Linked DNA regions of Callithrix jacchus. The protein of the gene in region 1 binds, or shares a complex with, the protein of each later gene. Links are inferred from orthologs where the notes say so. Each region holds a gene or a part of one and is shown on either strand. Other genes may lie near its edges.

Region 1 (5,223 bases):
ACATACAGACATAGGGCACACTGTGTCTTTAATTCCAGGAATTAGAAATCATAGGGTTCTGATCACACTGTACTTCTCCCCCTCCTTTGTCCTCCTGATCCTGACACATTCTGAGTAACGTCAGCAGGGACGCTGCTGAGGTGGGGGTTTTGGGGTGGGCGTTGCCCAGGTTCTTGGGGGAGAGGGGAAGAGTTGGAATTTGAAACCACTAAGGCACATCTGGATGTCTTCCCCCAGTATGTCCTCTTCTGGATTAAAAGGAGTGAAATTTAAACTGTTCAAGTCTGGACCTGGTTTCCCTCTAGGAGACTTATGTTGGTTCATTAGCAACTTTTTTTTTTTTTTTTCAGTGAGAGATGGAGTCTCACTCTGTTGCCCAGGCTGGAGTGCAGTGGTGCAATCTTGAGTCACTGCAACGTATGCCCCCTGGGTTCAAGCAATTCTCCTGCCTCACCTTCCCAAGTAGCTGAGACTACAGGTGTGTGCCACCATGCCCAGCTAATTTTTGTATCTTTTTTAGTAGAGACAGGGTTTCACTATATGTGGGCCAGGCTGGTCTTGAACTCCTGATCTCAGGTTGTCCGCCTGCTTTGGCCTCCCGAGGTGCTGGGATTACAAGCCTGAGCCACAGCGCCTAGCCCATTAGCAACTCTTAAAATCCAGAGGCATATGCCTGTATTCTTGAGAGTTTATACATGGAATCCAGTTAGAAACTGAGTCTGTTACAGATCCCATTTATTATCCTTTCTATTCCAAGGAGCCTTTTTTCGTCCTTCCCCACATCTGTTTATGGAAGAAAATGAAGTTTGGGGTGTGGTTTGAGGACTGAGCTAGATTCTTATGATCTGTCACATGCCTGGATGTGGAGAAGCATTTGGAGAAGCTCATGTGACTTGTCTTAGATTGGGGATTTTAATAATTGAGACATGTTTATTGGGTGTCCCACCATCTGAGAGTTTTAGCAACAGAATCACATGTGAGTCCATCAGAACTTAACGGCATTGATTCAAGTGCTATCATAAATATCCAGGACTGCTGTTTTGGTTACTCTTAGAGACAATTTCATCTGGACTTTCTGGGCATATCTCCTTCAGCAAAACCACATTAGGCCAGGAAAGCTATTTATTCTTCTGCCCGGAAGTAATGACAGCTTTCAACCAACAAGCTTATATAAATACAAAGAATTCTGGAGCCTATGGATTCCATTATTCTTTTCTAGCCTTTTCTGTTCATTATCTCATCCCAGAGGTGAGGGTCAGACACAAATTTGAAAATAAGTTTCAATGTTGGAGAGGTAAATCAACAGGAAAGGGGTAGGAAAAGTTGTAATCCCCCAATATTGTAATAAAGATACTGAAAAAGAAGGATGGGAGAGACAAGGGCTGTGTCCTTCCTTTTACTCACCAGTAGAGAAGGTAAGCTCCTGCTTGAGTCAATAGATACTGATGTCTTGTTATTTGCCACCAAAGACAGTCTCGTGAGACTTAATACCTAGTAACTCTCTATTCTGGCACATATGCTGCACAGACACAGAAACACTATACATCCACTGCCTTCTTCCCTCCTCCCTACCCTCCCTTCTCTCAGCATTTCTATCCCTGCCTCTTCCTCTTACCCAAATTTTCCAGCCGACCACTGGAGCTGACTTCCGCAATCCTGATGGAATAAATCTAGCACTCCTGATCATCTGCCCACACTTTGCTGCCGAAACGAAGCCAGACAACAGATTTCCATCAGCAGGTAACATTTGCAACTTCTTAGATCTTTTAGCTTTTCATTCCTGTCAATTCTTTAAGAGTATTAGGCATGTAGTGACTTGAGGATCAAAGTAAACTTTTAGCCTCTGCAGATGAAAACAGAGATGCCCTTCTTAGGTTATTTCCTGACTAAATAAAATCTGCCTTGAAATCTGTAGGATTCTTTGCATGATTTGTATATATACATACATGGTTTTTATTGAAAGCAAAAGATATAGGGAATCATTTGCCCATCCTTCAAGAGTGGCCTTTCTGAAGCATTTTCGACTTTAGCCAACAAGGATCAAAAGGGTTAACTCAATAGTGAGGAGGAGGAGGGTGGTACAGGGAGGTGGTAGCTCAGTGCTTCCTGTTCTCTGAGACATCTCAAAGCCCTCAACACTAGCTATTAAATATCCTACTGGACATTTTGGCAGTTTGCAAAAATTACACGTAAATGGACTATAAGCAATTGTGTAAGCCATATGACATGCTGCAGGCTGCAAATTGTCTTAAGATGGAGGATTTGTAATTAAGGAAACCAATGCAAGAAATGAGTGAAGCTAGCTAAACTTATGAAAAGCTGTGAATTTAATCATCATACAACATTGCTTTTCAGTCCGAAAATTATTCTAACAAACTGGAGCTGAGGCTTCTTCTGTGCGGCAGCCACAGTGGTTTTTTGTTGTTGGAGGAGGGGGAAACCTTGCCCACAGCATCTGGTTAAGATTAGGGCAATTTCCTGCCTAAGGAGGGAGGGGAGAGGGAAAGGAGGAAGAAATGCATAAGGAGAGTGAGGAGACAGAAAATGTCTCAGAAAACAGAAAACATTGTCATATTTTCCCTTTTGACAAGATCTGGGAAAGTACTGGAATTTAGGCAAGAAAGAGAACAATGCCTTGAAGAAATGGTCAGGAAGAAAACTTAGTTGGAAATCTCTCCTTTCTGTATTCTGAACCTGAGTACCACTTTGCCCTTTGTTTCCAAGCCTGCTAGGGACTCTGGAGGAAACAGGCACTGAGCCCATTCTGATTTTCCAGTTTCTATCCCATTTCTGGTTGTGTACGTTTGTGTGTGTGTGTGTGTGTGTGTGTGTGAGAGAGAGAGAGAGAGAGAGAGACAGAGAGAGAGACAGAGGCAGAGAGTGTGTGTGTTGGCTAAATCTCCAGAGAGAGAGAGAGAGAAAGAAAGAATGGCTAAATCTCCCTAGCTCAAAGTCCTTGGAACCAGATGTACCAGCACCCTATCTTAACACAGGCCCCTCCTATCATTGTTTTATCATATGAAAGTTACCCTCCATTCTGTGTCTACCTTCCTTTTCCTCATAAAGCCTAGTTTTCCTGTTTCCCTGCCAAATGGAAGAGTTTTCCTAACTATACTCTTCCGCAGAATGTGGGGGCTCAAGGTTCTGCTGCTACCCATGGTGAGCTTTGCTCTGTATCCTGAGGAGATACTGGATACCCACTGGGAGCTATGGAAGAAGACCCACAGGAAGCAATATAACAGCAAGGTGCCTGGGGTCCTGGAGGGGGCGTGGCATGAGGGCTGAGACAAGAGCTCTCTCATCTTAGCTTCCAGACTCCCTTCTTCAATCCAAATGTTTTATTCCAAGCTAATCAGTCCCTCTTCCCTGTCTCATGTTAACATGAGGTATTCATTCCTATGCTTCAAATCATCCTCTGTCAAATTGTATCCTTCCTTTGCTTTATAACTGCCTTACATTTCTCTTTTGGGAAGACGTCTTAAGATTAATGCTATTCATCTATAGGCAATTTTTCTATGAGCCTCTACAGAGCTTTATTTGTATTAATTTGACTTGTTTGCATATTATCTCTTAATAATTCCATGGTTAGTTCCCCAACTAAACTGTAAACTGTTTGTGATTGAGTTTCCTTTATTCTCCTAAAAACCTTCACAGTATTACATACGTAACTGTACACACTCTATACAAGTACTGACTATGCTTTGTTTAGGTGGATGAAATCTCTCGGCGTTTAATTTGGGAAAAAAACCTGAAGTATATTTCCATCCATAACCTTGAGGCTTCTCTTGGTGTCCATACATATGAACTGGCTATGAACCACTTGGGGGACATGGTGAGTACAGCTTCAGCTCCTGTCTCACCTACACCGTCTGCTTTACTTCCCTGCTGATGCCTGGCCTCTCTTTGTCTCAGACCAGTGAAGAGGTGGTTCAGAAGATGACTGGACTCAAAGTACCCACCTCTTATTCCCGCAGCAATGACACCCTTTATATCCCGGACTGGGAAGGTAGAGCCCCAGACTCTGTTGACTATCGAAAGAAAGGATATGTTACTCCTGTCAAAAATCAGGTACTCTCCTTTCTTCTGGGTGTGCATATGTAATCTGGCATGAACTCTTCCTTCTTCTGCTGCTTCGTTCTTGAGGTGAAAGGGCGCCAGAAAGAGAGGGCAAGCAGTTAAGGTACATCTCCCCAAGCTAAGAGAATATGGCTTGTTCTGTTACTTAACCTCATTCGTTTTTGCACTTTTGGGTTGTTTCTGGGTTTTCTTCTTTCTTTGAGACAGAGTCTCACTGTCGTCCAGGGTGGTGTGCAGTGGCGCAAACTTGGCTCACTGCAACCTCCACCTCCCGGGTTCAAGTAATTCTCCTTTCTCAGCCTCCCGAGTAGCTGAGATTACAGGCACATACCACTACACCTGGCTAATTTTTCTATTTTTATAGAGTTGGGGTTTCACCGTGTTGGCCAGGCTGGTCTTGAACTCCTGACGTCAGGTGATCCACCTACCTCGGTCTTCCAAAGTGCAGGGATTACAGGTGTGAGCCACTGTGGTCTGGTTTTCATTACAGACAGTGTTGCAGTATGCACCTTTGTGCATACTTTTTTGTGCACATGTACAAATATTTACGCAAAATAAGTCGTAACATCAGAATTGCTAGGTCACAAGGAACAAAAGAAAACAAAACTTTTTTTTTTTTTTTGAAACAGAGTCTCTCTCTTTAACCCAGGCTGGAGTCCAGTGGCATGATCATGGCTCACTGCAGCCTCAACCTCTCAAGTTCAAATGATTTTCCCACCTCAGCCTTTCTAGTAGCTGGGACTACAGGCACATGCTACCACACCTCATTAATTTTTTAAATATATTTTTTTGTAGAGACAGGGTTTTTCCATGCTGCCCAGGCTGGTGTCAAACTCCTGGGCTCAAGCAATCTGCCCACCTTGGCTTCCCAAAGTGCTAGGATTATAGATGTGAGCCACCATGCCTGGCCCAAAAAAGTTTTTACAATCTTACATTCTTACTAGCAACCTTAACATCAGGATTGTATCAGCAATTGTGTCAGTTTTTTCACAACCTTAACAACAAAGGATTGTATCGGCAAGATAAACAATTGATTTAATGTTAATTTAACAAACACTTTTTGACCCCCAGAACCTACCAGCTGCAATGTTAGGCAGCAGAGATTCAAGATGACTAAGACACAATCTGTGTCCTCAGGAAATCCTC
Region 2 (5,213 bases), on another chromosome or scaffold:
CGCTGCCTGGGGCTCTGTTTCCTGTCTCAGCAGAGCTTCGCACCTTTCCAGCCTCACAGAGACTCCCTGACCAGGCCCAGTGGCACCGTCTGTCCCTAAGGCATACTCTCACTTCCAACAGAGGAACTCATTTCCCAATAGTAATTATTGATCACTATTCGCCATCTTCCCACACACCCTAATGCTGGGCTGTGCAGTGCCACAGCCACAAGCCCCATGTGGCCACAGGGCACTCGACATGGGGCCAGTGCAATTCACACCCACTCTAAGTGTAAAAAATATACAGGGAATTTCAGAGACTTAGTACCCACACCCGAAAGAAAATAACCTATGTTATTAACGACTCTTCCTTTGTGTTGAAGTAATATTTTGGATATATTAGGTTAAGTAAGAAATATTATAAACATTACCTTCACCTGTTTCTTACTTTTTGAAACATGTCTCCTAGAAAGTTTTAAATTGTTCCTGGGTGGTGTCACCTGTCTGCCAGCAGCCCTGCAATGTCATGTCCCCAGCTGGGTCACCCAGGCTCTGTCTCTAACTCCCAGACCACCTGGTGCAGAAGGAAGCTGGCGACAAGTGTGTTTACGGAATAATGAGGAATTGTGAAAGGAGGACCCAGAGTTTTTTTACTCAAATTAATTCCTCTGTTTGAAAAGTTCCCTAGCACAGGGCACCGCCTGAGGCTCCCGCTGCCTCTGGAATCACACCTCTGCCTTGACCAAATGCTCGAGGATGCCCAGGACCTCTGAGGATTCCGGGAGGCCAACACCTCTATTTTTCCCTTTTCTGAGGAAATGAAACTAGGGGGTTGCATGCTTTTAGGGCTCAGAGGCCCTGACAATCTCTGGAAACCAGGGTCACCCAAGAGTGGGAGGAGTGACAGGCCTTTGGGGAGAGATGGAGCTGAGGGGGTGCAGGTGGGCATGGGTGAGGAAGGGGTTGAGGGAGAGGGGCCAGGAGTGGGGTTAGAAGAGGGGAAAGAGGACAGGACAGACAGGGACAGGGAGAGGACAGGAGAGAGTAGAAAGGGAAGACAGAGGAGGGTTGGGATGGGGAGGGGCGAAGATTAGGGGCAGAGCTTAGGGGAGAATTGGGAGCATGGACAGGAGTGGGGATGAGGGAGAAGAGGGGCTGGGGAAGCGGTGTCGGAATTGAAAGGATAAAGGGATAGAGGAGAAAGAGCCTGGAGAGGGGAGGCCTGGAGTCCCGAGGCAGGAAGGGTCTGGGATTTTGAGGGAGGAATGGAAAAGATAGGCGGGGCAGGGGAGGCAGGGAGGGAGAGAGCAGACAAGGAGGGAGACCGGAGGGGAGGGAATGGTAGGGAAGAATGGGGAGCCTAGTAGAGGCGTGGAGGAGGGGAGGGAGAGGGGAGGCGTGGGTGGGAATGGGAGCGGGGAGGGATGGAGGGGGAGAGGAAGGACCGGGAAGGACTAGTTAGGAAGGGGAAGGACTGGGAAGGATGGGGAGGGGGAGGGGCAGGGGACGGGGATGGGGGCGTGGGGGGGGAGAAGAGGCAGGGGACGAGGGAGGGGCAGGGGAGGCTGGGGGGAGGGGCAGGGGAGGCTGGGGGGAGGGGCAGGAGGGAGGAGGGACACGGGAGGCGCTGGAGGGGAAGGGGAGGCGGGGAGAGGGGAAGAGTAGGCGGGGGGGGGGGGGGGGGGAGGGGACGGGGAAGAGGCGGGGGAATTGTGGAGCAGGCCGGGGAGACGGGGGGAGGGGCGCGGTATGCGTGGGGAGGGGCGGGAGGGGCGGGGGAGGCGGGGTGCGGGGCGGGGAGGCGGGGGAGGCGGGGGAGACGGGGGGAGGGGCAGGGAGACGCCGTAGGGGCGGGGGAGGCGGGGAGGGACCGGGCGTTCCGGAAAAGGAGAAGTGGGCGGGGCGGAGGGGCGGGGAAGGCCGGAAGGTATAAAAGCGCAGCCGCTGGCCGGGCGAGACTCAAAGGCTCCGAGTCGCGGTAGGTTGTGTCTCTGCAGCTCTAGTCTCTTGCCTGCGCCCCGCGTCCCGCGTCCAAGCCGACCATGGCCGGGCCCCTGCGCGACCCGCTGCTCCTGCTGGCCGTCCTGGCCTTGGCCCTGGCGGTGAGCCCCGCGGCTGGCACGAGCCCCGGGAGGCAGCCGCGCCTGTTGGGCGGCCCCATGGACGCCAGCGTGGAGGAGGAGGGCGTCCGGCGCGCGCTGGACTTCGCCGTCAGCGAGTACAACAAGGCCAGCAACGACAGGTACCACAGCCGCGCGCTGCAGGTGGTGCGCGCCCGCAAGCAGGTGCGTGCCGCCCCCGGGCCCGAGCCCCCGCCCGCCCCGCGCCGCCCCGCGCCGCCCCCGTCCCTGAGCTTCTCACCCGGACCCGTTCCGGGCCTTGGCCGTCACCCCGGGGCCCTTGGCGGGCGTGTCCGGGGATGCCCCGACCCTGGCCTGGCCTGGAACCGCACGGGCTCGCCCGGTCCGCGCCCGGCGCCTGAGATCCGCTTCCCGGCACCAGCTGGAGCGGGGGCAGCACAGGACGGACCCCTGGGACGCGGGGCCGAGGGCGCTACTGAATACCCAGGAGAGGGGAAAACAGCCCCTCGTCTGGCTGCCCCCTGACCCTTTCACCAAATAATTTTTAAACACTTTTTCTTTTAACCTTTTATTCTCACTTAATCTCAGACTTACAGAGCAGCTGCAAAAATAGTACAGGGCGTCCCTGTAGATCCCTCCCCCAGATGCCTCCGACGGTAACAGGAATGTTGGCGTTTTGCTGTTTGGTCCCTAGCTCACTCGGCGTGTAAATATGGATATGTGTATACTGTATATGCATTTTTGGCCTGACTCTGTTGAGAGTAAGCGCTTCAATGTGTCTTTCCTAAAATTACAAGGGCGATGTCTCACATAACCACGATTCCATTTTGAAAATCAGCACTGACACATTTATAAGCTCATTCTCACGCTCATTCAGCAGCTTTCCCCGACTGTCCGCTGACGGCCGTCATGCCCGAGGACGCTCCTCCTCCCTGAGCGCATGAGCCCAGCCCTGTCCTGTCCCCTCGGCCTCCTTTAACCTGCAGGAGCCTTTGTTGTGTCTGTGCCATGACTCTGTCATTCCACAGGGTCCAGCAGATGTGGATGGGGGCTGTGCTGACGCTCGGTGCTGCTCAGGATGAGATCCAGGCCATGAGGCTCATCCTTCTCCCTGAGTCCTCCCCACAGGGGCCACCTGGGAGCCTGGCTCCTTGACCTGGAGAGCCCTGCTTCCCTCCCCAAGTCACACCCTTGGGCACAGCCCCTTAGGGCTAGCGGCCTTCATCCTCAGGCTGGCTGACCACCCCTGACAGCCCAGGGCTGCTGAATTCCTGCTGGGGTGGAGCCTGCCTGATGGTCCTGCCTCTACCAGCTGACATAGAGTTAGACCTCAGCCAGATGAGGACAGCAGTCACCCAGCAGAGCGGAGGAGGGGGTCAGGTCGGGAGGGAGCTTCGGCAGGGTTGCCCGGCCCAGCTTGACCTGTGTCCCATAGCAGAGCAGCAAACAGTGACACAACGACCACAGGGCTCTATGGCCTACGAGTCTTGAGAGCTCCTCCACCTTCTCTCGGAAATTCAGAGAAGTCAGACCAGCGACCGTCAACTGGGGCCCTCTCCCTGCACAGGAGGGCCACTCCCTGGTGTAGGGTCCCCGCTGGCTTGTACGTCTCTCACTTGGAGTGAAGCTCGGGGCATTGTAGCTGGTTGGGCCCTGGAGCCTGTGTTACAGAGGAGCAGCCTGACACGGGAGGGATCACAGGACTTGCACGTGGTTCCACAGGGCAAGACCTAGCACCCCGATCCCAGGGTCCCACAGTTCTGACAAGTCATATCTGGGGATGACACCATGCAGGGAAAGGATCCGTTTTCTGAAGTTGCAGCTGTGAGACATGCAGGTGTGTGACTCACTCTAGAAATACTGCCTCCAGAATCACACCTGGAGCGCAAGCAAGGTTTATTGGACTAAAACACCAACATATATAAGCACTTGTTTCCCGCTGAGAAATTAGGGAAAGTACCTCTGAGTTAAGTGGCAGGAGTGAGATGCTGTGTGGGCTGGATGCCAGGAACTGGAGGCTTGCTGAAACTTCGTCATCACATGAGAGCCTTCCTAGAATAGACCCAGTGTCCCTGCCCCCTGGGTTATAGGTAGCAGAATTCAGTTAATCCTTGGCATTGGCACAGAGAAAACAAGTTACCAGGGAGGCCTGGAGCATGGCATCCCTGCCAGCTGGCAGGAGGAGGTGCCTTGTGTGCCTTGCAAGTGAGTGTGAGCAGCTCATGAAGGTAGGCTTGAAGCCCCAGGCAAGCCCAGTGACTCGGTCACAGTGAAGTGTCTGTGCATATAAGAAACTGACAGCGTGCTGCCCCTGCATCCTGCTCTTTCACATGTGTAGATCGTAGCCGGGGTGAACTACTTCTTGGACGTGGAGATGGGCCGAACCACATGTACCAAGGACCAGCCCAACTTGGACAACTGTCCCTTCCACGAGCAGCCACATCTGAAGAGGGTATGTGCCTCATGTGGGTCCAGGGCCAGTCATACACTGCAGAGGGGGGGAGTGTGTGTGTGTGTGTGTGTATGTGTGCATGTACCTGAGTGTGTATACATGTTTCCATGTATAGGCTTGTGTGGGGAGGAGCACATGAGTGTATGCCAGTGGGTGTTTGGATGTGTTGGGGAAGTGTGGAGGTTTATGCATGGCTCTGTGTGGGTATGAGTGTATATGTGTGTGCACATATGTGTGGGGGTGTGTCACATGGTGTTTGAGAAAGTACCTGCAACTGTATGTGTGCATGTGGGTGGATAGATGTGTGAGGAAGTATGTGGGTTCACGCATGGATCCATGTGGCTGAGGGTTGGTGTGAGTTTAGATGCCTATGTGTGTGCAGATGGAGTGGTGTGGCAAGGGGTGATGACTTTGATTTGCTAAGATGGCTTTAGCTTGGAAATGGGGGTACTAGGCGCTCCACCCTGTGTGCTTTGGGGTGTTGCCTGCTGGACTATAGGAAGCAGCTGCAGGGCTGGGTGCTGGGCAGGGAGAAGGGGCTCTGTCTAATCCCAGCCTCAGGCACCTGCCTGCAGCCATGGCCACACTGAGCAGATTGGAGGGAACTAGAGGCCTGTTAGTAGCCAAACCCTCGGCCCTGCCCCACTCACCCAACAGCAGCCTCTCCAAGGACCCGGGATTTCTTTTGAGGTCTCTGCTCA

Evidence for each region. The genes of interacting proteins can lie anywhere in the genome.
Region 2: the proteins of CTSK (region 1) and CST3 are in contact, whole or in part, in a crystal structure (PDB 8V57), measured with the Mus musculus proteins. The link is inferred for Callithrix jacchus from reciprocal best matches to the Homo sapiens genes CTSK and CST3. Residues at the interface, in NP_031828.2 of Mus musculus: Asn132, Gln133, Gly134, Gln135, Cys136, Gly137, Cys139, Trp140, Glu173, Asn174, Tyr175, Cys177, Gly178, Gly179, Gly180, Tyr181, Met182, Ser248, Ala251, Ser252, Gln257, Phe258, Val274, Asn275, His276, Ala277, Ser297, Trp298, Ser301, Trp302; in NP_034106.2 of Mus musculus: Pro27, Arg28, Met29, Leu30, Gly31, Ala32, Pro33, Gln75, Leu76, Val77, Ala78, Val80, Asn81, Tyr122, Pro125, Trp126, Lys127, Thr133.

What each region holds. Positions count from the first base shown.
Region 1 is NC_133519.1:10,707,921-10,713,143, reverse strand, and holds the start of CTSK (cathepsin K), read left to right. Parts: upstream 1-1,693; 5' UTR 1,694-1,740; intron 1,741-3,125; 5' UTR 3,126-3,126; coding exon 3,127-3,246; intron 3,247-3,709; coding exon 3,710-3,832; intron 3,833-3,912; coding exon 3,913-4,068; intron 4,069-5,223. UniProt on the Homo sapiens protein: Thiol protease involved in osteoclastic bone resorption and may participate partially in the disorder of bone remodeling. Displays potent endoprotease activity against fibrinogen at acid pH. May play an important role in extracellular matrix degradation.
Region 2 is NC_133506.1:30,639,741-30,644,953, reverse strand, and holds the start of CST3 (cystatin-C), read left to right. Parts: upstream 1-1,940; 5' UTR 1,941-2,021; coding exon 2,022-2,264; intron 2,265-4,398; coding exon 4,399-4,512; intron 4,513-5,213. UniProt on the Homo sapiens protein: As an inhibitor of cysteine proteinases, this protein is thought to serve an important physiological role as a local regulator of this enzyme activity.